4 linked regions of the Saccharomyces cerevisiae S288C genome follow. Changing the gene in region 2 together with the main gene of any one other region gives a genetic interaction. Each region holds a gene or a part of one and is shown on either strand. Other genes may lie near its edges.

Region 1 (7,060 bases), 370 kb from region 2:
TCGCGATAGTCTCACTGAAGCTATAGGTACAAAGGGTGAAAACGCAGACGTACCACCAATTTCAAGGAGATCAACAAATAGTATAGCTCCCCTGTCACTACCAGACACTTCTTCGAATTCAAAGATTACAAAACCAGTTCAGGTGAAGGCAAGAAATACTATTGCGTGCACTCAAAGCGAAGAGTCACAGGCAACTCGTGGTTCAAATCCATTAGATAGCCAATCATCTGCTTCAACAATACATTCTTATAATACGTCAGAGAGTTATGAGAGTAGCATAGATACTATGAGAGCACGTAGAACCGCGAGCCAGCCGAGAGCTTACAATACTACCACACTCCTAGAAGAGAACTGTTTAGATGAAAAATGCCCAAAAAATATGTCTATGGCGGCATTGGAACCTATCCGCTCCATTGATATGCGTGCATTACCTTCTCAAAATATACACCATCTTATCAGAGAGTACTCCAACGTTGACCAGTATGGTCATCAAAGGAGGAATTCCAGTTTACGCGGCGCTGATATGAATGATGTGCATTCAATTAGCTCAAATTCCACTTTACAGACTATAAAAACTGCTAACCTAACCAGGATCTTAACATCAGATGCCACTGTAAGTAAAAAGGATATTGAAACATCCGGCGAATCATTACCACAGTGGATGAGAAAATTTTCATTAACTCCATTACTTGTGTTTTTCCTAAAGAATTGTTTGAGACCGTGCTCTATGGCCGTGATCATCGCCCTAACTGTTGCATTTATCCCATGGGTCAAGGCTTTGTTCGTGACTACCGCTAATACTCCTCACATAAGCCAAGCTCCTGACAATGCACCACCATTAAGCTTTTTCATGGATTTTACAGGTTATGTCGGTGCCGCATGTGTTCCATTTGGGTTGATATTATTAGGAGCAACTTTAGGAAGATTAAAGATTGGCAACCTTTATCCTGGATTTTGGAAAGCCGCTGTGACACTCGTCATTTTGAGACAATGTGTCATGCCAATTTTTGGTGTCCTATGGTGTGATCGGTTAGTGAAAGCTGGATGGGTTAATTGGCAAGATGATAGAATGCTACTATTTGTTATAGCAATCAGCTGGAACTTGCCAACGATGACTACCCTTATATATTTCACCGCCAGTTTTACGCCGCCAGAAACAACTGCGCCAATCCAAATGGAGTGTGTTTCATTTTTCTTAATGCTGCAATACCCGCTAATGGTTGTTAGCTTGCCATTTTTAGTGTCTTACTTTCTGAAAGTACAGATGAACCTTTAGTTTTAATCCATTAAACAAAAAATTATTACCACTCCTAATCACTGTTTTAGGGTGGGTTAAAATTAACATTCTCCATTTTTATATAGAACTAATAAAAAACACCTACTTATAGACACGACCAAACTTTCCACAACCTTTCATCAGAGAGAAATGTTGATCAAGTTGAATGCGTGAAAGTAGCAATTCGAAACAACAACTACCTGTCATTCTGCATAGTAGTAGTTACGAAAGGCACAGAAAATAACAAAAAAAAAAAAAAAGTCAATTTTCTACGGTCTCCATCCGTACCTCTTTAAATCCGTACATTATTGTTTTGCTTAATTTCAATATTTCGGAAAAAGCGAGCGCCCTGGTAAAATGTGGTTCAAGCCTGCGAGCCTTTGCTTGGTAACTCACCAAATGCAATTCAGTCACGTTCCACACAGTTTGGGTTTCCAGCCTGGCTTTAGGGAAGAATGGGCTCACTAGGCGTTCATAATACGCGGAGGGGGAAATACCAAATGCTATTGATTATGGTTAAAATATGTGTTATTTGACTTTGTATATACAAACAGAAGAGAAACCAACACACTAAAGACTAGACACATAACTGACCAATGTCCTCTGTCCAATCCAAGATCTTATCCCAAGCTCCAAGTGAGTTGGAATTACAAGTCGCCAAGACCTTCATCGATCTAGAAAGCTCCTCTCCAGAACTAAAGGCTGACTTGAGACCATTGCAAATCAAATCTATCAGAGAAGTATGTTAAAAGTTATATAATTTGGAAGCAGCAACATTGTGATTTCTTCTAAAGGGGTTCTTTGCAGTAATTTTTTCAAAAAAGAGTGATTTTGAGCAGTATCTGTATGAAATTTTCATGTGTTCGAGAAAAATAGTAATTCCGAGAGCTGTCAATACCATGAACGTTGCGATGAGCCTTTGAACTATAAAGGCCTCCTTGGTCAGTACCAATATCGATGAATAAAATAGAAGCACGCGAAAAAGACCTTACCCCAAGGAGAAGAATCACAAACCCTTTTTTGTTATGAATGAACCAATTCAGTTACTAACTTTATTTCAACGCTGCTTGATTCTTATTGTTTAGATTGATGTCACCGGTGGTAAGAAAGCACTAGTCCTTTTTGTCCCAGTTCCAGCTTTGTCTGCATACCATAAGGTCCAAACCAAATTGACCCGTGAATTGGAAAAGAAATTCCCTGACCGTCATGTTATTTTCTTGGCTGAAAGAAGAATCTTGCCAAAACCATCTAGAACATCTAGACAAGTCCAAAAGAGACCAAGATCCAGAACTTTGACTGCTGTTCACGACAAGGTTTTGGAAGACATGGTTTTCCCAACTGAAATTGTCGGTAAAAGAGTTAGATATTTGGTTGGTGGTAACAAGATCCAAAAGGTTTTGTTAGACTCCAAGGATGTTCAACAAATCGACTACAAGTTGGAATCTTTCCAAGCTGTCTACAACAAGTTGACTGGCAAACAAATTGTTTTTGAAATTCCAAGCCAGACCAACTAAATAGTGAGATAACTATCATTCTCATCATTTGTCATACTTAAAGAAAATAATATTAAGAAAAAATAATAAAAAAAGAAACATAGTTATGAGAATACAAAAGGAGGTTTCCAAAAAGTGGGCTTTTTTAATTCGAGTAAAATAATTATGAATGTATACTTAAATATATTTTGTATCTGTCAATATAGAGATGCTTTAATTGGTGTTTTGACATTTTGGAATACATATTGGGTTGATTTCCCAAGTTCTCGCTGCAATCAGATAAAAAGGAAAAAAAATAATGGTTGCTAAGAGATTCGAACTCTTGCATCTTACGATACCTGAGTATTCCCACAGTTAACTGCGGTCAAGATATTTCTTGAATCAGGCGCCTTAGACCGCTCGGCCAAACAACCACTTATTTGTTGAAGAAAAAGCATTATTTATCGCTAGACAACGATACGTCCATCAACAACCGTTAGTTCTTTCACATTGATATGCGGATTACTTATCTGAAGGAAAGGAAAAAGGCGTGGAACAAGTGAGCATTAACATAACCATCTGAAATCTTAGATGATCCCAAGTATGTGTAATTAGATCCGCCTCTTCGCCCAGCACATTGTCCATGCATTATCTGCTTACCTCTACGCGTACCTTGACATGGCGTGTTACGTGTTTCAACTTTGTATAATCAGAATTTCATTTGAGTATATTTTACAAGTCAAAAGCCCAAATGACGTATACTTGAAATAATTGAGGCACGTCCAATTGTGAGTGGCAAACCTTTTTTTCGGTATTCTAGATAGAGCTAATCGCGTATTTGCAATTATAGTTTACAATTCTTAGACGATTTCCGAAGAAAGTTAAAAATGCCCTTGAAAAAAAAATATGTAGGAAAGAGTGCATGCACATGAAGAAGAAAGAAAGAGCTAGGGAAAAAACGAAAAAGGAGCCTAAGGAAAAGAGTTAGGCGTTTACAACAGGACGAACCCGGAAGGAGAAAAGTTTGTAGTCTTGCAGTATCACAAACAGCAACCACGTTCATAGTCTGAAATACGTACAAATGAGTTCACCAGCGAACCTATTCCCTGGATTAAACGACATAACTGACGTGCTGGAGGAATTCCCACTGGCCACCTCCAGATATTTAACATTACTACACGAAATAGATGCAAAATGTGTGCATTCTATGCCGAATTTGAACGAGAGGATAGATAAGTTCTTGAAGAAAGACTTCAATAAAGATCACCAAACACAAGTAAGACTGCTCAATAATATCAACAAGATTTATGAAGAACTGATGCCATCGCTGGAGGAGAAAATGCATGTCTCATCCATTATGCTGGATAATCTAGACAGATTGACGTCCCGGTTAGAATTGGCGTATGAAGTCGCAATCAAGAACACAGAAATTCCTAGAGGTTTAAGACTGGGTGTGGACAACCATCCAGCAATGCACCTCCATCATGAACTAATGGAAAAAATAGAGAGCAAATCAAACAGCAAATCGTCGCAGGCACTGAAGAGCGAATCAAGAAGAGAAGCCATGGCTGCCAACAGGAGGCAGGGCGAACATTACTCCGCCAGCACACACCAACAAGACGACTCAAAGAACGACGCAAACTACGGAGGCAGCAGGCACGAGAGCCAAGACCACACTGGTAACAACACAAACTCAAGAAAAAGAGCCAACGCTGCCAATACCAACAACGCCGATCCAGAGACCAAAAAACGCAAGAGGAGAGTTGCCACCACAGCCGTTTCACCAAGCACTATCAGCACGGCAACTGCCGTCAATAATGGCAGGATAGGTACATCTACAGCGTCCAGGGGAGTTAGCAGCGTCGGAAACAGCAACAACAGCAGGATATCAAGACCAAAAACCAACGACTACGGCGAACCGCTCTACTGCTACTGTAACCAAGTGGCATACGGGGAAATGGTGGGGTGTGATGGCGCAGACTGTGAGCTAGAATGGTTCCATTTGCCATGTATTGGACTCGAAACTCTACCTAAGGGCAAGTGGTATTGCGACGACTGCAAAAAAAAACTGTGAAATAGCTCTCGGGCGAATATCGCCTTAAGGAAATATCTACTAAATACCGAATATATACATATATATATATCTTAGCTACATATATATATATCTTAGCGTTTTAACGGGCGTGGCCGTATCAATGGATCTGCAAGATACTTGGGCCCTACCGGTCTAGATAAAATATTCAAATCGATGGTGATGACGGCACGATAAAACGTAATAAATGATGAAATGACTTGTCACGGCGTAGCAGCGCCAGCAGCTCAGTCTAATCGCCGTACAGTGGGTGGTGTGGCTAATCGCTTAGGCTTTTTATTCAGAAGGACCTTTTCATTCACCTCGCCCCCCTTGGAGGTTCCTGCCTGACCCCTTTGCCCCTGGCCTCGCCCCTGCGCCATGTCTCTGCCTGGAGCGTGACATTTAGGACGGTGAAGCTAGGCAGGCCTTCAGAAATTAAACGGAACATGACAGCAAAGACGAAACAAAGCTGGAATAAGGGGATCTGGGAAAACGGGAAACAAGGTTCACATCAGCAAACATTTCTACCGAAAATCTGGGTAAACATTTATAGTACCCCAACATCTTAAGTTTTAGCCGTTGTCTTCTCTTATCGCCTAGAATCGCTCATTTCAAGCGTAACGCAATCCGGCTTTTGTTTTTTTTCCATTTTATTCATCCACTCTTTATCTGACTCTTCTGCACTATATTAATCAACTAGGAGAAAATTACTTGAGCAGAAAGATACGAGAGAATTACGGATAAAAAAACCAAGTTAACCGTTTTCGAATTGAAAGGAGATATACAGAAAAAAAAATGCCTTTGAACAAGTCGAACATAAGAGAGTACAAGCTAGTCGTCGTTGGTGGTGGTGGTGTTGGTAAATCTGCTTTGACCATACAATTGACCCAATCGCACTTTGTAGATGAATACGATCCCACAATTGAGGATTCATACAGGAAGCAAGTGGTGATTGATGATGAAGTGTCTATATTGGACATTTTGGATACTGCAGGGCAGGAAGAATACTCTGCTATGAGGGAACAATACATGCGCAACGGCGAAGGATTCCTATTGGTTTACTCTATAACGTCCAAGTCGTCTCTTGATGAGCTTATGACTTACTATCAACAGATATTGAGAGTCAAAGATACCGACTATGTTCCAATTGTGGTTGTTGGTAACAAATCTGATTTAGAAAACGAAAAACAGGTCTCTTACCAGGACGGGTTGAACATGGCAAAGCAAATGAACGCTCCTTTCTTGGAGACATCTGCTAAGCAAGCAATCAACGTGGAAGAGGCGTTTTACACTCTAGCACGTTTAGTTAGAGACGAAGGCGGCAAGTACAACAAGACTTTGACGGAAAATGACAACTCCAAGCAAACTTCTCAAGATACAAAAGGGAGCGGTGCCAACTCTGTGCCTAGAAATAGCGGTGGCCACAGGAAGATGAGCAATGCTGCCAACGGTAAAAATGTGAACAGTAGCACAACTGTCGTGAATGCCAGGAATGCAAGCATAGAGAGTAAGACAGGGTTGGCAGGCAACCAGGCGACAAATGGTAAGACACAAACTGATCGCACCAATATAGACAATTCCACGGGCCAAGCTGGTCAGGCCAACGCTCAAAGCGCTAATACGGTTAATAATCGTGTAAATAATAATAGTAAGGCCGGTCAAGTTTCAAATGCTAAACAGGCTAGGAAGCAGCAAGCTGCACCCGGCGGTAACACCAGTGAAGCCTCCAAGAGCGGATCGGGTGGCTGTTGTATTATAAGTTAATAAAAAGGAAATAGTTGTAGAAACGCTAAGACGAAAAGAACTCTATAAAGTTGAAACGAGTACACACATTTATAAATATATACAAAAGTAAATAAAAAAGTGACTGTTTTTATATTGCTTATTGCCATTTGCTATTTCCGTTTCATTCTTGTTAACATTGGAAACTTTGGGCAATATCATATGGTTGCCGGGTAAAGGAAAAAACAAACAACATCGCTATAACATAAAATTGGACATTGCAGAGAGTCATCAATCACATCCATTTTCACAAGAAAGAGGTGTTCCACCTGGAATAACAAGCTTCTCTTTCCCCTTAGAATGACATCTAAAGTTGGTGAATATGAGGACGTTCCAGAGGATGAGTCCCGCCTCACAGAAGAGAACGTATCCGTACCTGAAGAAGAAGTAGAAGACGAAGACGAGGAAGAAGACGACGATGATGATCATATATATATCAATGAAGAAACAGAATCT
Region 2 (8,588 bases):
CCTATGAGTGTCATTAAATTCGTTATTGATACGCTTGTCAATTTCGTAAGTCAGAAGCGAAATCTTAATATCTCCTTTTCTTCTATTAGTCAGTTCTGGTTAGTTGGAGATTATCTCAGAGTCCGCTTCAATCCCGAAACATTAAATTTAAGTGATGAGAAACGTAGAAGTCTCTCCGAAAAGATTAATAATCAAAAATTAATTGAAATCATTACATCCAGTTCATCTCATGATTGGGAACTTTACAACGGATTATGGATATATCTTTTGAAAAATTTGATCAATTGTACTAATGATGATAGAGTAGAAGTTAAAAACGGTGCTGTGCAGACTTTTTTCAGAATCATCGACTCCCATTCTGTTTGCTTCCCCCCATGGGACCTAATTTTCTTAGAGGTTATTGAACCACTGCTTACCAAGGAATGGTCCACTGAAGAACTCGAAAATGAAACTGATTTTATAAATGTAACATTGCAAGGATTAATTAAGCTTTATCCGGAACACTTTAAGGACTTCAAAAACAACACTACCTGCGCCAAGGAATGGTCAATGTTATTAGATTTTTTGAAAAGATTGTTGTCTTCCACTTCTAATAATACCAAGAATGCTGTAATATTAAATTATCAAACCCTGCTGAAAGAAATCATCACTATTGAGGACGTTCCATCAGATATATTGAAAAAGTGCTGCGAAATATTTACCGACTACAATATTACGTACAGTGATCTCTCCACAAACGCATCGAGCAAAACTGAATACGATTGTATATACGAACTAATAACCGGATTTCCTCCTCTTTACCAATTAATATCGAAATACGATGCGATGACAGATGAATTTGTGGAAAAAGTTCTTCTTTTATTCAATTCTGCCATAAAATATCCTCTCTTACCTGAGTTTGTCCAAGACAAAACTAAACCGTCCTCTATGCAAAAGGCCATATTGTCTGGACTTGATATATTTATGACAAATGATTCTAAAGATACAGAAATTTTGATTCTTCTCCAGTTAAGTACAATATCGATATTGGCTTTTGATACAAGGGAAAAAATAACAAAAAAACTTGGACCAAAGCTTCCAAAAGCATCACTTAACAGGTTACCAACTTTTGAGGCAATCAGCTATATGTCATGTTCTAACCTGAGAAATAGAATAGCAAAAATAGATCAATTTGGTATATCCACACTGAAAGCAAAGCATATTTTAAGAATATTGAAAAATTTGGCTGAAATCATCAAGCGAAAATCGCTTATTACAGGGTCAGAGAGTGATGAAATCCCCATATGGGTTCTTGCTTCCAATTGCTTCTGTGATTTGTCGAACAAAATTTTCAAATCACTCCAAGAAGATGCAGAAAATCCATTAAAGGATAACTTTTGTGATTTATTTATAAATGTTATTGTTGTCACATTACAAAGAATCAACCCAGAGCTCGATAATTTAACCGAGATAGACGATTTGAATGAGTATTCCAAATATAGGGAGATATTGCTGGAAAACAGAATCATTGATCTCTTCAATGAAAGGCAATTAGACACTTTCATTTATGCCGTCTGGGATTGTTCATTTTTATATGAATTCGATGAATTAGAAAATGCTTTGATGCAAGACTGTGGTACGTTTTCTGAATTGTCTCAAAAACTATCTTCGTTCGATTTTTCATGTATATTTGGATCCACCACAAATCCTCGCTTTCAGACAAAATATAAGTGCTCTTTAGAGTGCTTGCAAGATTTGGTTAATTTTATGTTGAACACAAACGAGAAATTAAGAAAGTTAACTGCTCCTTATCTTTCTGCAAGAATTGCCCTTGCTCTTAGAAGATATATCTCAGATGAATACTTGATTGGGCGAGCACCAATACCAAAATTGCGTAAAACAGAACTAGCTACTCTATTAAATGGGCTATGCGTGATTTTAAGAGGTGTTCTAGATCAAAATTCGACCCTTGGCAACAAACAAATTGGAGTTGAAAACCTACAAACATTAAGTCCGTTGATTTTAAGAACCATCCCAGTATCTCATAAAATGGATGGCCTCCAAGATAAAGTTTTGGAATTATCACTTGGATTTACGAAACTAGACTAGAAGCTGAAGCATGGACGAATATTTTTAAAAATCACGTAGGATAAATAGTAATATTAAACGACATTGGATTGATTATTGTATCGTTGCAGGTCTTTTTTTATTTACTTTAAAAAAAAAACTTTTAAGGTGAACGTATTTATATATTATGCCATTGGTATGCATAGCTAAAAGAAAAGAAATACATAAGATTGTAGTATGTATGATATGCTTATAGAAATAGTTGTGTGCTTCATTCCTTCCACTCCAACAGTGATGTCAAATCCTTTGGATCACATGCCATATTGAAAAAACCGTGGTGTAAAAGCTCTTCGGTTGATGCCCTATATCTAACATCTACGCAAAGGCAAACGCTTAGAAAGCGTTTAATTTCTAAAGACAAACTTTCTGGATGCTTGAGCTTTGGTGTACCATTAGTTGCAATTAAGTACAACGCCTTTAGTGGATCTTCATTTAAATATGGTGGTTCACCCTCCAGCATTTCAATGGTCATGATACCCAAAGACCATACGTCAATCTTTTCATCGTATTCACGTTGTTTGACAACTTCAGGTGCCATCCAGTAAGGTGTCCCAACCATAGTGGCTCTTTTGCTTCTTTTATCAGTTAATCTGGCGCAAAACCCAAAATCGGTAATTTTCACCCTAGCTCTAGTGTCCAGCAAGACATTATCTGATTTAATATCCCTATGAATGATATGCTTGTCGTGTAGAAATTTCAAGCCTTGGCAAGTTTCTCGTACGATATATGCAATTTGGGGTTCTGTTAGTGGTGAATGTGAATTATCGTTGGTGGGACTATTCTCGATAATGTCTGTTAGTGAACCTCCTTCCATAAACTCCATCACAACCCATAGGTCATCGTCTGTTCTCAAATAAGCCTCGAGAAAATTGACGATATTTTTATGACGTGAATCCTTCATAACCAAAATTTCATTCACTATGAGTTCTTTACGAGGTTGTTTAGATAAGACCATTTGCTTGATAGCAACTTTATCTCCTACGTGCGGCTCATCAATATCATTGTTTATGAGTTCGATCATATTACTTTCTGTCGGAATATGCGTCCTCTCTGCAAGGTAGACGGACCCACTTGCACCTTGACCGGCCTTCTCGATCACTTTAAAGCATTGAGATGGATCCGCATTTACGGTGACTTTCTTCAGCTTACTCATTATTTCTGCAGTTGACATGGTAGGCCTTGCTGGCTTCTTCGGTTTGGCCACACCACCCGGTTGTGCGACATCTGCATCCGGTCTCTTTGGGGCCTGCCTCATTGTTTGTGGGGTTGACTGGTCATTCTTAGGTGCAACAGGCTGTACATGTGTGTTACTAGTAGCATTTTGATTTGATGGGTATGGCGCCCTTGGAGCTGATATTGGTGGCTTTGGAGCTGTTCTTTGAGGTTGAAAGTGTGCGGCTGTAGGACTTGAGTTTTGTGCATAACGTGGAATTGCTTGGTTTTGGGTCGACTGTGAACTTAATGGCGATTGAGGTTGTTTGGAATAAGGATTTATCATATTGTGATGTGGCCTATAAGGGTTTAATGGAGACGGAGATGGGGATGGAGATGGAGATGGTCCTTGATGGTGGTATGGATATTGTTGATGCTGTTGTTTTTGTTGCTGCTGCTGCTGCTGCTGCTGCTGCAAAGATCGTTGAGAATTGTTTGGATGCATAGGTCCCCTAGGAAATTGGCCATTGGTTGGGGAGTGTCCGTTTCTCATCTTAGGATATTGTTGGTTGGGAACATTTTGTAAGTGTCTTGGAATATTTGACTGACTAGTGGGCAATTTTGTATTTATTGGTGGCAGTGAGCCGCTTCCTAGAGAAACAGGCGATTTGGTATTTGGTGGTTGTGAGGTTTTCCTCTGTGATACCATACTTGAAGAAACGCCTGAAGATGACTTTGAATTTACTGAATTATTTCTGAGTTTGTTATCATTATAGCTGTTTGGCAGCGATTTTTGAGAGGAGGAAGTTTCACCACTTTGAGGCTTGTCTAAAGTATTTGTGGGATTTCCGGCTCCATTATACTCTTGATAAAACTGCAACACTTGAATGACAGCCGCAGAATTATTGTTCCAATCTTCTCCTGTAATTCTGGAGTGCTTTAATAATTTTTCCCAGTTGGTGGGCATACCAACAAAACTACCTGTTTCTGGATCAAAACCAACGTGAACTTTATGTGTGAAGTTTGTTGGAGAAGATACACCACTTAATAATGGACATTTAGCAAAAATGGCGTCTAACCAACTATGCAAATCGCTTTCTGTCTTTGTAGCAATGTATATTGATTTTTTGGAGTTACTGTCTGATGATACATTCAAAGAGGACGAGGATCCTGATGATACAGAATTTCGGTCACTGCAGCGCACCAACTCAAAACAATATTGTTTCAACTGTGTCCTGCTTACACTTATAATACTAGTTAGTGGTATCTTCAAGATCGCATCGTCATTTTGTTTATCGTTCTTGTAAAGGGCTACATACGAATCGTGTAGCATCAGGTATCTCTTTTGCCATATAAATGAAAGTATACCGTCATCTTTGTAGGACACCCACCCGCTTTTTTTTTTGGAGGTACTTGTACCTAAATGGGACGCTGATGTTAAATCCAGTTGACTCATAAGTTTGGTTATAGGTTGCGTTTGATTATAGCAAGTACGGCCCTGGCTATTTGAACTGGGAGGTCTAGGTGCCGGTCCGATATTTTGGAAATCGTTGTCAGATATCTTATTCGCTGCAGCTGAAAGAGACATATTTTGCACTATTTCTTTTATGTTTCAGTTTCACTGTTCGATTTATTACACCAAAGAAACCACCAGGAATGAATGATAGCAAAAGATGCAATGGTTTTCAGTAGCGCAGTACGTTCGATCGAAATAAAGGACTTAAGGTTTTGATCTTATTAGCAGCAGAAGCAAATAACTGGCAACGCTAATACATGTACAAGGCTCAGGCTAGAAGGTTCTTTCAAATTATGTGTCTCGAATCAGACTCTCCTGCACGTTCCATACTATGTTTCTATCATGCCAGAGATGAAAAATTTCGTCATCTTACCGGCTCGAGAAAATTTCCATATCGGGAAACTATCCTTTTTTGGTGGCTCTATATTTCCGGAAAGGGAAAATACCCACGCGTTTGATATCATTAGCTTATTGTTTCACTTGGACATCGATGTGGTATTCTTGTATAAATAGTAAATAGTCTATAAGAGTCTATATTGTGTTAAAGAGCCTGGCCTTTAGAGAGCCAGTAGTCCCTTCTCGTTTGAGCATCTACTGTCTTAGTTTCCAGTGGTGATTTCTCATCTTGTCCCGAAGGGGTATCTCTTCCTTTTTGATCTTGATCGGATTCTTGATCATTCTCAGAAAGTCCCATCAAGTCATCTATGCTGAGGTTGTTTTGGTGTAGGAGAGAGCCCTGATCAGTTTTTTTCACTTTGCGTTTCAATTTGCTTCTGCTCACTCCAAAATCCGGAGGTGGAGATGGAATGGCACTCTTTTTGATTTCCCCTTCTCTCTTATCCTTTTTTGCCTTCTGTTTCTTCTTTGCAGGTTCGTCAAGTTTGTAGATCTCCTCTACTGGCAAGTCTTCGGTGTCGTTTATAAATAAATCTTCTTGAACTATCCTCGTGCGCCTCTTGTGGTAGCGCTCGTTTTCAATGATGGCTTTATTCTGCACTAAATCTCTTTCGTCGTTGAAATCTCTCTTTTGCCCACGGTATTTGATCACGTTTCCGAGTATACTTTTTCCAACGCGGTCTTTGAATGTAGCAGAATTCAATTCCCAGCATTTATTGACCAACAGTTCGAAGGCACCAGCAAAGGCCTTTTTTATATCCTTCATATTAAAGGAGCCTCTGCTTATATTATTGTTAGGATCACCAGGATCTTGAATAGCTAGCGAGAATTTACTCCTTGAAGGTTCCAAAGTTCTCCAACACGATTTAGGAATATAAGAGGCGTAACCATCAGATATGCTTATAGCAACGTCATCATAACCAAAATTTTTTCCGTAAAGTTCGAAGAAGTCAATCAGTAGAACACCCAGGTTATCTAGAACGTCGATATCGTTTGATTTTATTCGCGGATGCATATTTAAAAAAGAATAAACCAAACAGATTACTGTGAAACCTCCCAATCCTCCTGTGTGCACATTGTTCAATCGTCTTGAATGCAAAAATTGTTTTATTATCAGTACCAGTTCACGTAACCCTGGAGAGTCTCTTAGCCATTCCCTGATGAGTTTTGCAGCCTCTAACCCGTTCGTTCTTTCAAATGAAACGTCGATATGTAACTGTGATTGGGGCTCTATGAATTTGATAATAGGCACTCGCGTTTTAACAATAACCTCCATTCTTATAGCTAGCCCTTTGTTTTTCAAATGTCTCGCCAATTCATAAATGTAATTTCTGTCCTCTTTATCGCGATTCCGGCTGTTTACGACACAGTCAATGTCAGAACCCGGCAAATATAAATCGGTGGCAAAAGAACCAAACACATGCAAATCTGCATCCGACCACAGTTCCTTGACCGCCCGGCGTAGTTTATCGATCGTTCTATTTCTGCACTTGATTTCGTTCTTGCTTGGAGAGATATAATGAACGAAATCTTTGATTTCTGAAGTTAGCCAATCTGCTATTCTCCTTTGTTTCGAATGACAATGATTTCTTATCCAAGGATACTCCACATTGCAAGCGCTTTCAGTGTTCAGAGATTGCTGTGAAGTAAGCTTAGAAACTTCATGTTCATCGGTCAACAGAAAACTGCTTCTTTCATCATCATCTTCCTTTATTTGTTCTGTTTCATCTTCAGAGCTGTCCGAAAAAGCAATAAAATCTTGATTATCTTCGAGAGAATTGTTTCTTTTGCTAGATTCTGCCCTTTGTTCATCTTCACTTGATGTGACTTCTTCTATTACAGGTATGTCGACATCACTTTTATCATTTTCCATTAAGACTAGGTTTCCGAAAGTGTCATCGTCTTCAACGTCGATAGCGAGGCTCTCGTACTTGTTAAAATGCGAGCGATTATCGTTAAATACTTCAAGCATTTTTTGCGTTCTTGTGAAGGATGATTTACGCATACGTTTTGTATGTTTATCTTCTTTTCTTTTACCTTTTGTAGGTGAATATTTTGCTTTGAGCCTTGTCATGACGACCCAATAAACTCCGCCCTCGTTTGTTTATTTGAAAAATAAAAAATGATACGCTAGTGAAACGAACCAGCTTAACCTTGTGAACTGTTATTACAGATGTTTGCTTTCATCAAGTATCGCTTTATTACCTTTTTACAACTTTTTTTTTTTTAACTGCGATGAGATGAGATGCCTGGAAATTTGCGGGGGGTAACCACAAGAAAATAAATGTAACATATCGTTGAATTAGTATGTAGTTATGAGTTTATACAATGGTCTAGTAAGGTGCCTTCTGCGTCCTTATCGAAAGGAACTTTAGGAGAATGAAGCAGACGTTCCTTTATTAAGTATGACCAAGGAGTCCTTGCTTCGAAGCTAGCGAATCTGGTAACTGAGGGAAAATACATATCATGTAGATAAAAAAATGTGAAATTAATGAAATGAAGCGGAATATCCTTCCTAGTTTAAGTTGTCCATGCAACTTATAACAAAGCAAAGGCAGCAGCACCCATGATGGCACCCATACCCGCAACGGAGCCTTTAACGGCAGCGCCGACGTATGTGCTGATCTCATGGGTGGTGGTGTTAGCTTGGCTACTGATAGATTTAGTGGATAGAGTGGCAATGGTACTTGTAGTGTATGGAGTGGAAGTAGTTTTCACGGTGGAGACCATAGATGTAGTACTTTGTGGGGTGGTGGTAACATCTACGTAAGTGACACCATCAGAGGTGGAATCTGCGGAAGCAAATGCGGCAATGGCAGCAACGGTGGAGAGAGTAGAGAATTTCATTGTATTTTGATATTGATATTAAAGGAAGGTAAAAAGTTGGTTTAAAATTAGCCGAAGGCAGGGATAAGGAAGGAATGCAGTTGGTTTTCTATGGACTACTCTTTTAAATGATATATGTACCAATAAAGATGGAGTAGGCGTAATAACAAAGTTTCAAGGCCATATATAGCGCCTTATATATACACATGCATGTATTTATCACGAATTTTATTTTCCTCGAGAATCACCACCGTTCATTACAAGACTATACCAGAAGACGCCAAAATCAGACAGAATTGATCTGGCGGTGCCTTATTCGGAAGTACAAGATCAGTATCAATGTAGTGACTCTGCTACATTTCGTGTCAGGATCTTCACCTTTTGGCGACTGCTAATGGCTATATATACCGTCATTTTCGCGTCACTTCTTTGTGCTTCCTGCTTTTTCGTGACGCGCGGTTTTGAAAACATAGACAAGTTTTTGGCGTCGTTGTTAATTTCGAAGAGGATGTCCAATATTTTTTTTAAGGAATAAGGATACTTCAAGACTAGATTCCCCCCTGCATTCCCATCAGAACCGTAAACCTTGGCG
Region 3 (10,591 bases), on a different chromosome or scaffold from region 2:
TGCGGGCCCAGGCCCGTCCGTTTCTTTTTTTTCTAGGGGGCGGCAAACGGGCCAAAGGGGTCAGCGTGATTGGGCGGTTTTCCACAAAGCTTTAGTCTCTCTCCTCACGCCTTGGCTTAGTGAGTGGCCGGAGTTAAAGTTGCGAGGAAACACACAGCGAAGGGAAAAAGCTTTGGCGTGCTTAACGATATGGCTTATGGCCCGGTTGCAATGCTGGTTTAGTTTCCGATTACGATTTTCGATTTGAATCCTGGCTCCACATCTCCCACCCTCTTTTTTTATCTCTAGCATCGTGCGTTGGATTTTATATTATGAAGTTCCTATATTAGAATAAAGTTTAGTATTTACTTCCCAGATCTACCGGATTTACAAAGTATTGTTACCTCACCACCAAGTGAAAGGAAACAGTGCAGTAACTCCTCGTGCTTACGCTAACTAAATAGATATTATATTCACGAAATACTGCGCCAGATAGCAAGCAAACCCAAAAAAAAAAAAGAAAAAGAAAAAGGAAACAAAGTGGGAGACAGAAAAAGAGTGAAAGAAACATAGTATTTACCAAGTCGAAGATTTAGCACAACAAAGACTAATCTACACGCATACTGCTCTTCTTCATTATTGCTTTATCTTCCGCGTACCTTAGTTATGTCACAGAATATTCAAATTGGCACTAGAAAACGTTCAAGAGCAAATATGAATAATTCCACTACTACGGGCCCTGCTAACAATACAAGCTCTAACAAGACCTTTTTGGATAATTTCGAAGAAACGCGCACAAACAAGCTGCTGGACGAGATGTTTGCTCGGCAAAATTCTTTTCTAACAGACAATCTGAGGAACAGTCTAGACCTGAATCAAGCAGACAATCCGCTCCGTCCTCGGCAACACCAACACCAGTTGTTCTTGGACAATGAAAATGCCATAGAACTAGACGAGGAGCCGCGTATCATTAACACCACAATCAATAACAGTAATAATCATAACAGTAGTCGAGTGGACGAGGATGCTGACGATGACATCATTTTTATCAAAGAGCAGCCAATTCAGTTTTCGTCACCTTTGATTCTGCCTAGTAGCAGCAGTATCAATAACAACAATAATATTGTTACTTCAAATAATCCAGGGTGCGGTACCGCAGCTACAAGCAATAGTACGTATATCACGACACCAAAGAAATTCAAGAAGCAAAGAACCATCTCACTGCCTCAGTTGCCTCTATCGAAGCTGAGCTACCAATCGAACTATTTTAATGTTCCTGATCAAACCAACGCTATCGTGCCAAGAGTAACGCAAACTGAAAATGAGCTGTTGCATCTAACGGGGTCGTGTGCAAAGACTCTGGAGGGCAACAAGGCAGTGAATCTCACGATTGCTCACAGCACTTCTCCCTTTTCCAACCCACCAGCACAAATAGCTTCCCTGCCTCAATCCAACCTCAAGAAACAAATTGGTTCTTCACTACGGAAATTTACATCAAACGGCTCTTCAGAAAGCGCATCATCCAATAAATCAAATTTCAAAACGGACAAAGACGGTCACTACGTTTACCAGGAAAACGACATATTTGGCAGTGGCGGCCGCTTTGTTGTGAAGGACCTATTGGGCCAAGGCACGTTTGGTAAAGTACTTAAATGCATCGATAACAAGTATGAACCTAATTACGTGGCTGTAAAAGTGATAAGGGCTGTAGATAGATATAGAGAAGCCGCCAAAACAGAACTAAGAATTCTACAGACTATCCTGAATAATGACCCTCAAGGTCAGTTCCAGTGCCTCTTGCTAAGGGAGTGCTTCGATTACAAAAATCACATTTGTTTGGTGACAGATCTATACGGCAGGTCCATTTACGATTTTATGTGCTCCAACGGCATTGCCAGGTTCCCCGGCTCTCATATTCAGGCCATTGCCAGACAGCTAATCAGATCTGTCTGCTTCTTGCACGATTTGGGCATAATACACACGGATTTGAAACCAGAAAATATCCTGATTTGTGACGAAACCCATATTGCTCAAAAATTGCCTTTGAAAACCGTACAGTCGCTAAGCAAGAGACGCCGTGAAGCCAGTAAGGGGAAGCGCAAAATCTTGAAAAATCCAGAAATCAAAATCATTGATTTCGGTAGCGCAATTTTCCATTACGAATATCATCCTCCTGTAATATCCACTCGTCACTATAGAGCCCCGGAAATTGTCCTTGGCTTGGGCTGGTCGTTCCCCTGCGACATTTGGTCCATCGCGTGTGTCCTAGTAGAACTGGTTATTGGCGAATCTCTTTACCCCATTCATGAAAATCTAGAACATATGGCTATGATGCAACGAATCAATGGAACCCCTTTCCCCACAGACATTATTGATAAGATGTTTTACAAATCTAAACATAAATTGGGCAACTCTCCATCAGACCTAAATTCAACGGTGATAAAGCATTTCGACAGAAAAACTTTAAGCTTACAATGGCCTGAAAAAAATAAACGCGGAGATACCATAACCACCGAAAAGTCAATGAAAAGGGTCTTGCAGTCATGTGATCGCTTAGATATTTACATCTCAAAGGTCTTGAAACAGGATTACGGCGATAGCTTAAGCATCAATTGGAATCTACCGCCGGAGAAAAACTGGTCTTTGATAAATTCGAAATTGGCATGGAAAAGACAAACACATTCCTCTTCTTCCTCAACTACTGATGAACTCGATAAGGAAACTTTCTTGTTTTGGTACTGGTTCATCGATCTACTCAGGAAAATGTTTGAGTTCGACCCAACAAAAAGGATTACCGCAAAGGACGCTCTGGACCATGAATGGTTTAATCTGGGCATACTGGATGATGGTATTGCAACTTATAATAATACCCAAGGATAGTGGGTGTTCTCGTTCTACTTTTCTCTTCTTTTTTTCACATCTTTTACTAGTTCCGTTTTTTTTTTTTTTAACTCTTCTTTTTCATTTTCCGGTTTTTAATAATATTTCTTTAAATTTCTATATTCAATAAAAATTCTTCCTACATATATATCTTCATATTCAAACATTTATAGTATTTTTACTAATTTTTTGTTGTTTTAATATACTATAATAATATTATTATTACTGCTACTACTATTATTATTATTATTATAATTATTATTATTATATGTCATACATAATACATTCTATTGATTGTCTTTGTCTTCCTTTTCTTTCTCCTCTAGATACTACTAACTTTACTTCAACTTCGAATTCAAATAATTTATTTCGTCCTTCAAACTTGCCTCTTCTACAGTTTTTACCAGCTCCTTTGTACATTTGGCAACATCAAACGCAATCCCTGCCAACCGCTGTTTGAAGTTTTTGTCAGCATAATCTTGATCGCTCTTTTCCTTCGCTAGTATTCCATCGCCAGTTAATTGGCACAAAATTGTCATTCTACGCGAACAGTCTCTTAGACTTTGCACCACCCAATCACCGTGTTTCTTCAAATTGGCATTTCTGCTTTGCTCCATTGATATGCTAGTAGCGTCCACCATTTGACCTATGACTTGGTTGATTGCATTCGATTCTCCCCTCAAATTACCCTTCGTCACCTGTGGTTTCTTGATCGATGTCAAAAGCGATTGAATCGTGGATATGACGTCCATTGTTTGATGTTCTAAATACAATAGTAACTCTGATAGTGTATTATCCGGATTTTCAATGTCAAATGTATCCACATCAAAATCACTGTCTTCTTCCTCTTCATCGTCATCTTCACTTTCCTCTTCCTCACTTCTGTTTTGTTCTTGTTCTTGTTCTTCATGTTTCATGGGAACAAATTGATAGCTAGAATCATCATCATCACTATAATGTTTCTCGTCATGTGCCGTAGTTTCTCCAGTATTTTTTATCTTTATGTGGTTGTTAATGCCGCCGTTCGACTCTGAGTTCTCGTATTGAACCGGTTTACTGTTTAAAAATGGTGAGTGGCTCGTCTTTTTTACCTGTGAATTTTCAGTTGGATTTACGAAAGCATGCTTTCTTTCAGTGATGTGTATTTGGGCATCAGCTCTTTTTCCATTAACATTATTTGATTCATCAATATCTTCCTCGGAAGTATGCACTTCTGCTTCGCTTTTTGCTTTACGATCAACAGGTATTTTATGATAATCAATTTTTCCAGTTTTCGTATATGCACCAGTGATCTGGATATTGTGGTTCACTCTATCAAAATCTTCGTCCTCCTCCTCTCGTTTGATCGTACGGTTTAAGTCGGCGTCTCTCCAAGAAGTATTGGCATCCTTGTTTGTTGGTTCCACAGAAGTGATAGTCTCAGTATGTGGTTTATTAGTTTCTCGTAACTCGACATTTTTCTTTATCGGTGCTAGAGGTGAATTTTTTGCCAATTCAGGAGAAACAATTTGGCTATTCGGTTCTGGGAGCCCGCTCTTTTTCAGTGTAGCTGAAGATGGAGTCTTTTCGACTGATTTTGGTGATCCAGTTCTATTAACAGCCTTTGGAAAGACAATCTTTTTTAGTACTTTTGGGGGGTCAACATTCTCTATCGGCTCTGAGGAGGCAATGTCTCTCCTTATTTCTTGAGGTTCAGACACAGTATTTCCCTTTAAATTTGGGGATTCCATTTTCACTGTCATGTTTGAGGGGATAGTATTGCCTACTGCCTCCAAGGACTCGCTTTCCCTTACCATTCTTGGAGATTCAATTTTGTCAACTTCTCCTGATGACGCCAACTTCCTAGCCGCTTCCGGGGACTTGATTGATTCTTGAGCTGTAATTTTTCCTGTCATACCCAAAGACTTAATCTGCTCTTTCATGCCCGGAGATTCGACCCTACTATCTGCTTCTGGGCCTACAACTTTTCCTGCCATATTCAAAGATTTAATCTGTCCTGTCATGCCCGGAGATTCGACCCTACTATCTGATTCTGGGCCTACAGCCTTTCCTGTCATACCCAAAGACTTGACCTTCTGCGTCATATCCGGAGATTCGACATTACCAAGTGGTTCTTGAAAATTTTTCTTCCTGACTGATTCTACAGATGCGCCCTTCTCTGGCATTTCTGAAGGCTCAACATCCTCTACTAATCTCTTAGGCAGCGAACTACTTGGCATTTCTGAAGACATTTCAGATGACGTGATTTCCTTTATCGATTCAGGAGATTCAATCTTCACGGACTCCGGTGACTCATGTAAATCAAGTTCCACTATATTTGCAGGTAGTTTGCTGTCATTATTTTTTTCAATTTTTGAACCTTCTCTCTTCATTGTTTGTTTCAATGCCATATAGGTAAAATCATCATCATCGTCTGCATCGTCATTTTCGTTACCATCAGAGCTTGAATCATCTGTGGACACATCATTCATTGAAGTGATAAATTTATTGGATAGTTTTGGTTTTGAATCCATTTCTTCTTTTGCTATAGGATTTTCCTTTGGTGATGATTTCTTTTCGGAACTTTGCTCAAATTGTTTCAGTTTATCAGCAATGCTAGAAGTTGGTTTAACAGAGATTTCATTTGTTATGTCACTCCTTTTATTATCCTCTTCTGTATTCTCGATTTTAATATTGGGAACTTGATTCTCTGACGGTGGAATAACAGTACCGATTTTGGCTTGTGGAGGTAGTGTTAGTTTAGGAATTTCGGAAATATTGCTACTTGCAGAATTGGAGGCCGATGTTACTGCCTTTATGGGCGAGACATATTTATCATTATCCTCTTTATGGGAGCTATTCTTAGCAATTGATGAATCAATCATTAAACTAAATAGCCCCGTTCCTGAAGGTTTTCTTGAGGTTGTTGGAACTCCATTAGACGATGACGGTCTTATGATCGGACTGTTAATTGCCTTTTGTGTAATTTTCAATGGCTTGACTGGAGATTCTTCTTCCTCCACATCATTCAAGAAAGATGCTGGTTTTCTTGGGTTTATAAACCCCTTCTTCATATTTATTCCAGAAGTCGAGGGGAAAGTTGGCGTCATTGGGGTGGTAGCAGTTGGTGAAGAATATTCTAATACCTGTCGGTTACCTTCATTAGAGGTGGTGCTCTCACCATTTGAATCGGATTTTATTTTCGCTGAATCAATTAGATTACACATGGCAAAACAAACCTCTGAAACAGCAGCTTGCACAGTTATTTTCGGAATTAATACGGGACCGTAAACAGAGAAATATCTTATCGATGTGATCGCATGCGATAATGATGCCTTCAGTAAAATGACCTGATCTTTGTACTGTAATAGGTCGGCCGATAGTAATAGCTGGGAGATTAGGTTCGATAACTGGGATAATATTTGAAATAACTCTTCGCCAATTTGATGGGAAATTGCCGTGGAGTCGCCTATGGGTACTGCGGAAAGCCTAGTAGTAAATTGAATTATCAAGTTGTTAGCGTTTAAGATGTATTGAGCTGGAATGAGCCCATCGGCAGAAGAGTACTTGCTAATAAAACCGTCAGTGATTTTCAAATCATTATGGTTGTCATTCTTTTTTTGATGCAGTTCGAATTCTGAAATTTTCTGCTTCAAATTTTCATTCTCAATTGATAATTCACCGATTTGAGAGTTTAATGACAGCAATTCTTTCTGAAAACTTTCATCAATGGTGTAGTTAATCTTTAAGTTCTTTTCCTTTTCTTTTTCCTCCTTCTCTTCCTTCTTCTCCTTTTCCTTCTCGCTGGTTAAAGATGCTAACTTAGCATTCAAATCTTCAATTTGCAAATGTAAGTCGCTGTTTAAATCAGTCAGTTCTTTAACCTTGTCTTCCATCTCTGAGTTAGGGTTATTGTTCTCAGCCCGTTGTACTTCAGGGCTCTTCAACTGTTCGGGACCCTTTTCGTTATCGATATCTTTATCTACCTTGATAATTGGAGAATCATTAACGTCCCAGTAATTTTTATGCGTCGTTGTTGGAGTCCTTGCCATTGATGTGATATCACGAGCGAGCACTTGGGAGTCAGGCAGATCAGAATCTGTAACTATGGGGTTTAGAGCAGGTTTAGCCTCTTTCTTTTCATCCATGCTTGTTTGTTTTCCCTCCGGTTCATTTGGCTTCTCCTTTACTTGCTCCTCTTCTTCTTCCTCAGAAGACCAATCGATAGATGCCATCTTAGGAATGACCAAAGAAGGTTGTACGGAGACGTTTGGAGCTACTTGAGTCACAGAGGAAGAATTTGTGGATGTTCTTGCAGTATCATCGCTGTCTTTGCTGACCTCTTGTTTCATCGGCTGCGGTAATGGGGGCCGTGGAGCATCCAAATCCTTGTCGAACCCTCTTCTCTTGATCTCAAAAAGGATATCGTCCAACAAATCATTAAATCGAGTTTGTGATAGATTGGCCAGTTTCTGTCTAGCCTGGTTCCTTTTCATGTGGAAATTTGCCTTCGGCAAAAGGTAATCTGGTTGGTTAGCATCTTCACCGATTCTCCTCTGCAGCTCATCGGACACGTCTGTACTCAGCTCGTAAAATTGCGAAGAAGATAGCTTCAACAGCTTGGCTCTGGCCTTTTGAGCTCGTGTCGAATTTGACCTGTCACGATTTTCGCCAGTCACCTCGAAAAAAGTCTTCAGTGAGACGTAGTAATGGAAGATATCTCTATGATGTGCGAGAGAAACCTCGCTTGACGTACCCATGTTTACTCTTTCTTTTCTTTTGTTTATTCTGTTTCGGTGGCTCGTATTGCGTTATTCCTCACGCCTTGATTTGAATCTTCGTCTCACGTGGTTTCTCAGCGTCTTTCACACGCTTCTGACCAAATTTATCTTACCGAACTATACGTAGCTATGTGTTGCTTTCTGCTGAAAGAACTCGATAATAGAATATTATTCTCAAAATACTTCAAAGTTTATTCTCATCGTTTCCAAAAACGCGTCACGCATCACCCGGCGCAGTATTTCTTCTTCCTTTTCCGCCATAAAAAGTCATAATAATAAGCCTATCTCAAGATTCTTATACTACTTTTAACAGTTTTATTGATAACTTACTTACGTTAGACCATCTTTTTTGTGCAAACCTTTGGTAAAAAAAAAGAACTGCGCTACCTTCTCCTAGTTTATGTATGGTACGGCAACTCATAGTTAGTTTTCTGTGCCCGTTTTAAGCACGACTTGAACTTACGTGATTATATGTATACAGTGCATGTTTTTATATAGAAAAATAAAAAAATGGGGTTACGTAGTCGAAGGATATAGCAGTGTCTAAAAACTTGCAAGAGCACTCGTAGCTCCCCGGCAGTGGAATCTTACCACTTCTCAGAGAATGTCGGAACGATATGTTACTGCACTGAAGTTTCGCGTTTTTTCCAATTTTGTATTATTTCATTCTACTCAATTTTGAGGTAACATCGGCGATGAGGTCTCCTTCTAGAAGTAACAGAATATGAAACTAAGGGCAGAAGACGTGTTGGCAAACGGAACTAGCAGACATAAAGTTCAAATTGATATGGAAAGACAGGTTCAAATTGCAAAAGATTTACTCGCACAGAAAAAGTTCTTAGAAGCTGCTAAACGCTGCCAACAAACTTTGGACTCTCTCCCAAAAGATGGTTTGTTGCCTGATCCTGAACTGTTTACTATATTCGCACAAGCTGTATACAACATGGAAGTACAGAATTCTGGTAATCTGTTTGGGGACGCTCTTCTGGCAGGTGACGATGGATCTGGGTCTGAGTCTGAGTCTGAGCCTGAGTCTGATGTGAGCAATGGAGAAGAGGGGAACGAGAACGGTCAAACAGAAATTCCTAATTCTAGGATGTTCCAATTCGACCAAGAAGAGGAAGACTTGACTGGTGATGTCGACAGTGGTGATAGTGAGGACAGTGGCGAAGGTAGCGAAGAAGAGGAAGAAAACGTGGAGAAAGAGGAAGAACGCTTAGCTTTGCACGAATTGGCTAACTTCAGTCCAGCGAATGAACATGACGATGAAATTGAAGACGTATCGCAACTTCGCAAGTCTGGTTTCCACATTTACTTTGAAAATGATCTGTATGAGAATGCTTTGGACCTACTGGCGCAGGCCTTGATGCTGTTGGGCCGCCCTACAGCAGATGGCCAATCTCTAACCGAGAACAGCAGATTGCGCATCGGTGATGTGTATATCCTGATGGGTGACATCGAAAGGGAGGCGGAGATGTTCAGTAGAGCCATTCATCATTACTTGAAGGCGCTTGGCTATTACAAGACCTTGAAACCCGCAGAACAAGTAACTGAGAAGGTGATACAAGCAGAATTTTTGGTGTGTGATGCTTTAAGGTGGGTTGATCAGGTGCCGGCTAAGGACAAACTAAAAAGATTCAAGCATGCCAAGGCTCTGCTTGAAAAACACATGACTACAAGACCCAAGGACAGCGAGTTACAGCAGGCAAGGCTCGCACAGATTCAAGACGATATTGATGAGGTGCAAGAAAATCAGCAGCACGGCTCCAAGAGGCCTCTTTCGCAGCCCACGACCTCCATCGGCTTCCCCGCCCTCGAAAAGCCCCTTGGTGACTTCAATGATCTCTCTCAACTGGTCAAGAAGAAGCCTAGAAGGCATTGATAGTTTTGTGTAAAATGTAGCAACCTACATACGTAATGTATATTTCTCCTTCTTTGGTACGGCGAAAGGGCCCCATTTTAAAAGGGTGAAAAAATATTTAAAGAGCAAGCAGACCATCCCTGAAATGACATACTTACTACATCTAAAAAAAGTCATTTTTCTCTATTCATAAGGAGCAAGAAACACTAGCCAAGAATAGTCAGTATAATGTCATCAAGACCCGCTAATAACCAAGGCCCCCCAAACCTCCCTGCCAGAGATAAGTCGCTCGTGCAAAGGTTCATGGCAGTAGCCAAGAGCTTGCAGTTTGCATGGTTTACCGGTCATTCCGTCGTATTGATCAGCTCCATTCTTTACCTGCTCAAGATGTCAGAATTTTATTACAGATCGGCATATCTCGGTGTCATCGAATCTTTCGGTATCATCATTTACCAGCAATTTTTCACCCGCAATGAACCATTGCAGACTCAAGATGCCGCTGCCACTAAGGCTTCCATAAAATCACGCGTTGCTGGACTCCTAAAGAGTGAAGACGTGCTTTATTTGGTTTTGGCCAACTTCTGGTTGTTCACTCCAAGATTTTCATTCAGCTTAATCCCATTTTTCGCGTTTGCTGTATTCCATGTTTTAATCTACGTTGAAAAAGTTCTCTTACCAAAAGTCTTCCACCTTTCCAGTAAAGATTCAAGTAAGATCCTCAGCTTCATCGACAAGTTTGTTGTTCAGTACAATGACTTGTGCATGCACTGGGTCGGTACTGCTGAGCTGCTTATTTTCATTTTGGTCCTTTTCAGAGCCATTCTGTGCTTCCAAAGGTCTTGGATCATACTTGTTGTGTACGCCATCTTTATTAAGTTAAGATACGAAAACTCCAAGTACATGAAAGCCGCCTTTGCTCAATGGAGAGTTAGAATGGACGGGATCATAAGCCACCCATCTATCCCACCATTCGTCAAAAGAGCTTATAATGCAATTAAAATGAGCTTGATCCGCTTGTCTGAGTACCGCTTAAGCGGTGCCCCACAAGTGACCAAGAAGCAGAATTGAGTTTTATTATTACTTTTTACAAGTTCAATACCTTCTAATTACT
Region 4 (3,637 bases), on a different chromosome or scaffold from region 2:
CAAGGACGCCAAAGACGGATATTCTTGGAAGTCTCCTTGCTAAGAAAAGAAAATAGTTGTACTTGATCCCTATATTATATTATATCCTATTTATAACCAAGGGCTTGCCTTCGCGAACAACAAGGTATGCCATTTTGAGAGGAGCAAATTTGCATTCTAAATTCATGATAATGATATGTTCTTTAATTATTACTATATATAAACTCACTTAGTTTTCCAGCCTTTGCTCTTTTGTTCGTATAGCAAGGAATGAAAAAAAAAAATCCTGAATAAACGTCATAGTAATTTTCTTCCTTAGTTAGATACAAAGGATTTTGAAATACAGTATATGCACAATCGCAACTCATTAAGAGCATAGGAAAGTATTCAATTTAAAGAAAAACATGATGGAAACGATGATATAGAAAAAAGAACGGAAGCAAGCGTTAACTGTGATAGGAATATGCATAGCTTTTTCTTCTTTTTTGTTTTATTATTATTGTTGAATGCTATTTGCTGAATCAATTTACTTGACGAATGGTGTAGAATAATAAATATGCCTGTTCCTTTAAAACCTCTTCTTGAGATATAGAGGAGACCATGGAATCATTGAATTTAAACCATTGCCCTCCAGAAATTTTACAAAATGCAATATAATGTCCCTCATTAACCGTCCCCTTGTGGGAAACAATACCGATTAATTCGTAAATAATGTCTGGAACCTTGCCATTTTCAGAATGCTTATCTTTTTCCTTCGTTGAACAGTAATTTTTCATATTTAAATAAGTTGGAAATTCAATAAAATCGTCTAGTTTTCTGTTACTTCCATTAAGTAGGTGTTCGAATCTTTTCAATTGCAAAACCAAAACCGATGGTAATTTGTGTATGCCTAGTTGCTTTATTGCATCTTGAGTGCTGTTACACTCCCCACAATGATAGTTGAAATCCTTCAACTGTTCTTTTTTATGGAAACTGTCAAGACATTCATAAAGTTTTTTCTTATCCTTGATATCCAGAGAAAGATCCAAGAATGGATCAATGGTTGTCTTTGAATTATTTTGACAGCCTGGACACACAATAGAACTTTCCAAGGAGCCCTCAAACACAGTATGCACTATGCATTCACACTGCTTATTATTTGCTCTGCTGACTTCCTTGGCATTTGGCAAATCAAGAACATAGCTTTGGTGGATTTGGTTAATTATAAACTGCCAAAATTCATGAGCATCTTGTTGTGAATACCCTGCTAGATTTTGATTGATTTTCCAGGCACAAGTTAAAAGATATATGAATCCGGTTTGCCGATTAGTAGATGTAGATGACGAAGAAGCTTGCTTTGTATTCAGCGCTCCATAAAGTTCATGAACAATTTTATCGAGTGCACATGAAAAACATTTATCTGGAGAACGCACTTTACAATTATTAGAATGAATTTGACTCATTGAGTGCCTAATAAAGTAAGGGTTATGGATTAGACATTGGAGAATACTACTCATGAAACAAGTGGATCCCATGTTGATCAGGCCAGAAAGCCCATCTCTTCTTTCCATGCTAGGAACCATGGTCTTTGTGCACACGTCGTCCCAATACTTCGCTAGGATAGCATCGTTAATCAGATCGATATTCCCTATATAGTCCTCACATTTGAAGCAAAATAAAAGGCCATTATTTGAGTTGATACCAAATATGTGACCAATCTGTTTACTGTGAGAGAGAAAATGCGAATGGTTCCAACATCCACAAAATCCACATTGTAGACACATGAAAGTTGCACCAGAGTTTATTTCGTGGCATGTACCACATTTCATGGTGTTTAAGAATTTTTCCTTGGGTACGGAATGATTTAATATATACCTGGCAGCATTGCACGTTTTTAGAACCCCATCTTTAGACTTTTCATTCTGAAATACTTGCTGTATATGTGGACAAATGCTCATAATTATTAATAACAAATAAAAAAAGCAGGGTTTCAAGTAGGACGACGAGGACCGAAGCTGTAGTTTTCCCTTTTGATCCGATCAATAAATAGTATTCAAAATTATGACAGCCAGTTGAAAGAAATGGACTAACTGGTCTCAAAAGAAAACCTTTATTATTATCCGTAAAATATCTTTTTAGAATTAATCAGGTCCACTAATATAATCCCTTTGCTATTACGACAGCTTTCTAGCCCATATACAATATAAATTATTGATGCTTTTTACACACTATAATCGAGGATTTTTTTTCACTTGAAAAATTCAAAGAAAAGCAAAAAAAGGAAGAATAGAGAAGAAAAAAAAGGTATAAGTGAAGAAAGAATGTGCAATACTACAAGACTATAAGATTTAATAGCTGTAACCATGACGAAGAATGTATTGATGTTACATGGGCTTGCGCAGTCAGGTGACTACTTTGCCTCTAAGACAAAGGGGTTTCGCGCCGAAATGGAAAAGTTAGGATATAAACTCTACTATCCAACAGCACCCAATGAATTTCCCCCAGCTGATGTTCCTGATTTCTTGGGTGAGGTAATTGCTGATGCACCTGGGGATGGTGAGAATACCGGTGTGCTTGCGTGGCTAGAGAATGACCCTTCCACCGGTGGCTATTTCATACCGCAGACGACAATCGACTATTTACACAATTATGTCCTTGAAAATGGTCCATTTGCAGGTATTGTAGGATTTAGTCAAGGAGCCGGTGTAGCTGGATACCTAGCAACGGATTTCAATGGTTTGTTGGGCCTTACAACAGAAGAACAGCCGCCGCTAGAATTTTTCATGGCGGTCAGTGGTTTCAGGTTCCAACCACAACAGTATCAAGAACAGTACGACCTGCATCCAATATCGGTCCCATCTCTACATGTTCAAGGAGAACTTGACACTATCACAGAGCCGGCCAAAGTGCAAGGCCTATATAACTCTTGTACGGAAGACTCTCGCACTTTACTAATGCACTCTGGGGGCCACTTTGTGCCGAACTCAAGAGGGTTTGTGAGAAAAGTGGCTCAATGGCTCCAGCAGTTGACCTGAGGCAAGTATATATAGCACGTAATCTTCACATAATCTTCACATACATATTTATACATGATTAAATCCTCCGGGTAATAATACGTCAAATTAACTTAACTACCGATACGATGCTTCATTATGATAACGATAACAATGGCATCTATAAATGATTTTATTCCTCGTTAGGCCAGTATTAGGGCAGTAAAGACTGTAATGACCAGTACAAGAACGTTGAGATACGCACAGGTTGCCTGTGCTTGTATCTGGTGTCTTTTTTCAGCTGGTATTATCTTTGGATTTGCTGCTTTGAAACCTATTTTAATTTCAGAAGGTGTATACCATGAATTGTGTGATCCTAAGGATGGTGATAGATTATTATGTACTGCACAGGATCTGAAATTAAATTTTATATTTGCTCTCAGTGCTACTGTAACAAACATCATGGCCCTTCCTGTCGGTAAGATTTTGGATATGTATGGACCTCGTGTCTGCGGAATAATAGGATCATGTCTCTTGTTCCTAGCAAGCGGTAATTTTATTTCTGCCAAGCATCTAGTGTCTCTTTGGGACCCATATCTTGTCGGTTACACGCTTTTGGCAGTTGCCGGTCCGTTCGTCTTCATTTCATGTTTTCAATTGGCAAATAGCTTCCCACAAAGATCAGG

What was found.
Region 1: mutations in CLA4 (region 2) and PHO23 together harm fitness more than expected from each alone (negative genetic interaction), as found in Saccharomyces cerevisiae (6 studies listed by BioGRID, with this or other methods).
Region 3: mutations in CLA4 (region 2) and SPA2 together harm fitness more than expected from each alone (negative genetic interaction), as found in Saccharomyces cerevisiae (7 studies listed by BioGRID, with this or other methods).
Region 4: mutations in CLA4 (region 2) and UBP8 together harm fitness more than expected from each alone (negative genetic interaction), as found in Saccharomyces cerevisiae (5 studies listed by BioGRID, with this or other methods).

Annotation. Positions count from the first base shown.
Region 1 is NC_001146.8:439,128-446,187, reverse strand, and holds PHO23 (Pho23p), read left to right. Parts: upstream 1-3,829; coding exon 3,830-4,822; downstream 4,823-7,060. Other genes in the region: YNL095C (uncharacterized protein), read left to right, coding at 1-1,276; 40S ribosomal protein eS7 RPS7B, read left to right, coding at 1,873-2,016, 2,362-2,790; PLS1 (Pls1p), read left to right, coding at 5,269-5,391; Ras family GTPase RAS2, read left to right, coding at 5,618-6,586; putative tyrosine protein phosphatase OCA1, read left to right, coding at 6,905-7,060. UniProt on the Saccharomyces cerevisiae protein: Component of the RPD3C(L) histone deacetylase complex (HDAC) responsible for the deacetylation of lysine residues on the N-terminal part of the core histones (H2A, H2B, H3 and H4).
Region 2 is NC_001146.8:65,173-73,760, reverse strand, and holds CLA4 (serine/threonine protein kinase CLA4), read right to left. Parts: upstream 4,847-8,588; coding exon 2,318-4,846; downstream 1-2,317. Other genes in the region: MON2 (Mon2p), read left to right, coding at 1-2,088; non-canonical poly(A) polymerase TRF5, read right to left, coding at 5,316-7,244; TOS6 (Tos6p), read right to left, coding at 7,709-8,017. UniProt on the Saccharomyces cerevisiae protein: Involved in budding and cytokinesis.
Region 3 is NC_001144.5:97,954-108,544, reverse strand, and holds SPA2 (Spa2p), read right to left. Parts: upstream 7,599-10,591; coding exon 3,198-7,598; downstream 1-3,197. Other genes in the region: serine/threonine protein kinase KNS1, read left to right, coding at 646-2,859; HIF1 (Hif1p), read left to right, coding at 8,344-9,501; nucleoporin POM33, read left to right, coding at 9,709-10,548. UniProt on the Saccharomyces cerevisiae protein: Involved in pheromone-induced morphogenesis and efficient mating, perhaps as a cytoskeletal protein.
Region 4 is NC_001145.3:714,994-718,630, reverse strand, and holds UBP8 (ubiquitin-specific protease UBP8), read right to left. Parts: upstream 1,917-3,637; coding exon 501-1,916; downstream 1-500. Other genes in the region: MRE11 (MRX complex nuclease subunit), read left to right, coding at 1-56; FSH2 (putative serine hydrolase), read left to right, coding at 2,322-2,993; FMP42 (Fmp42p), read left to right, coding at 3,186-3,637. UniProt on the Saccharomyces cerevisiae protein: Histone deubiquitinating enzyme component of the transcription coactivator SAGA complex. SAGA acts as a general cofactor required for essentially all RNA polymerase II transcription.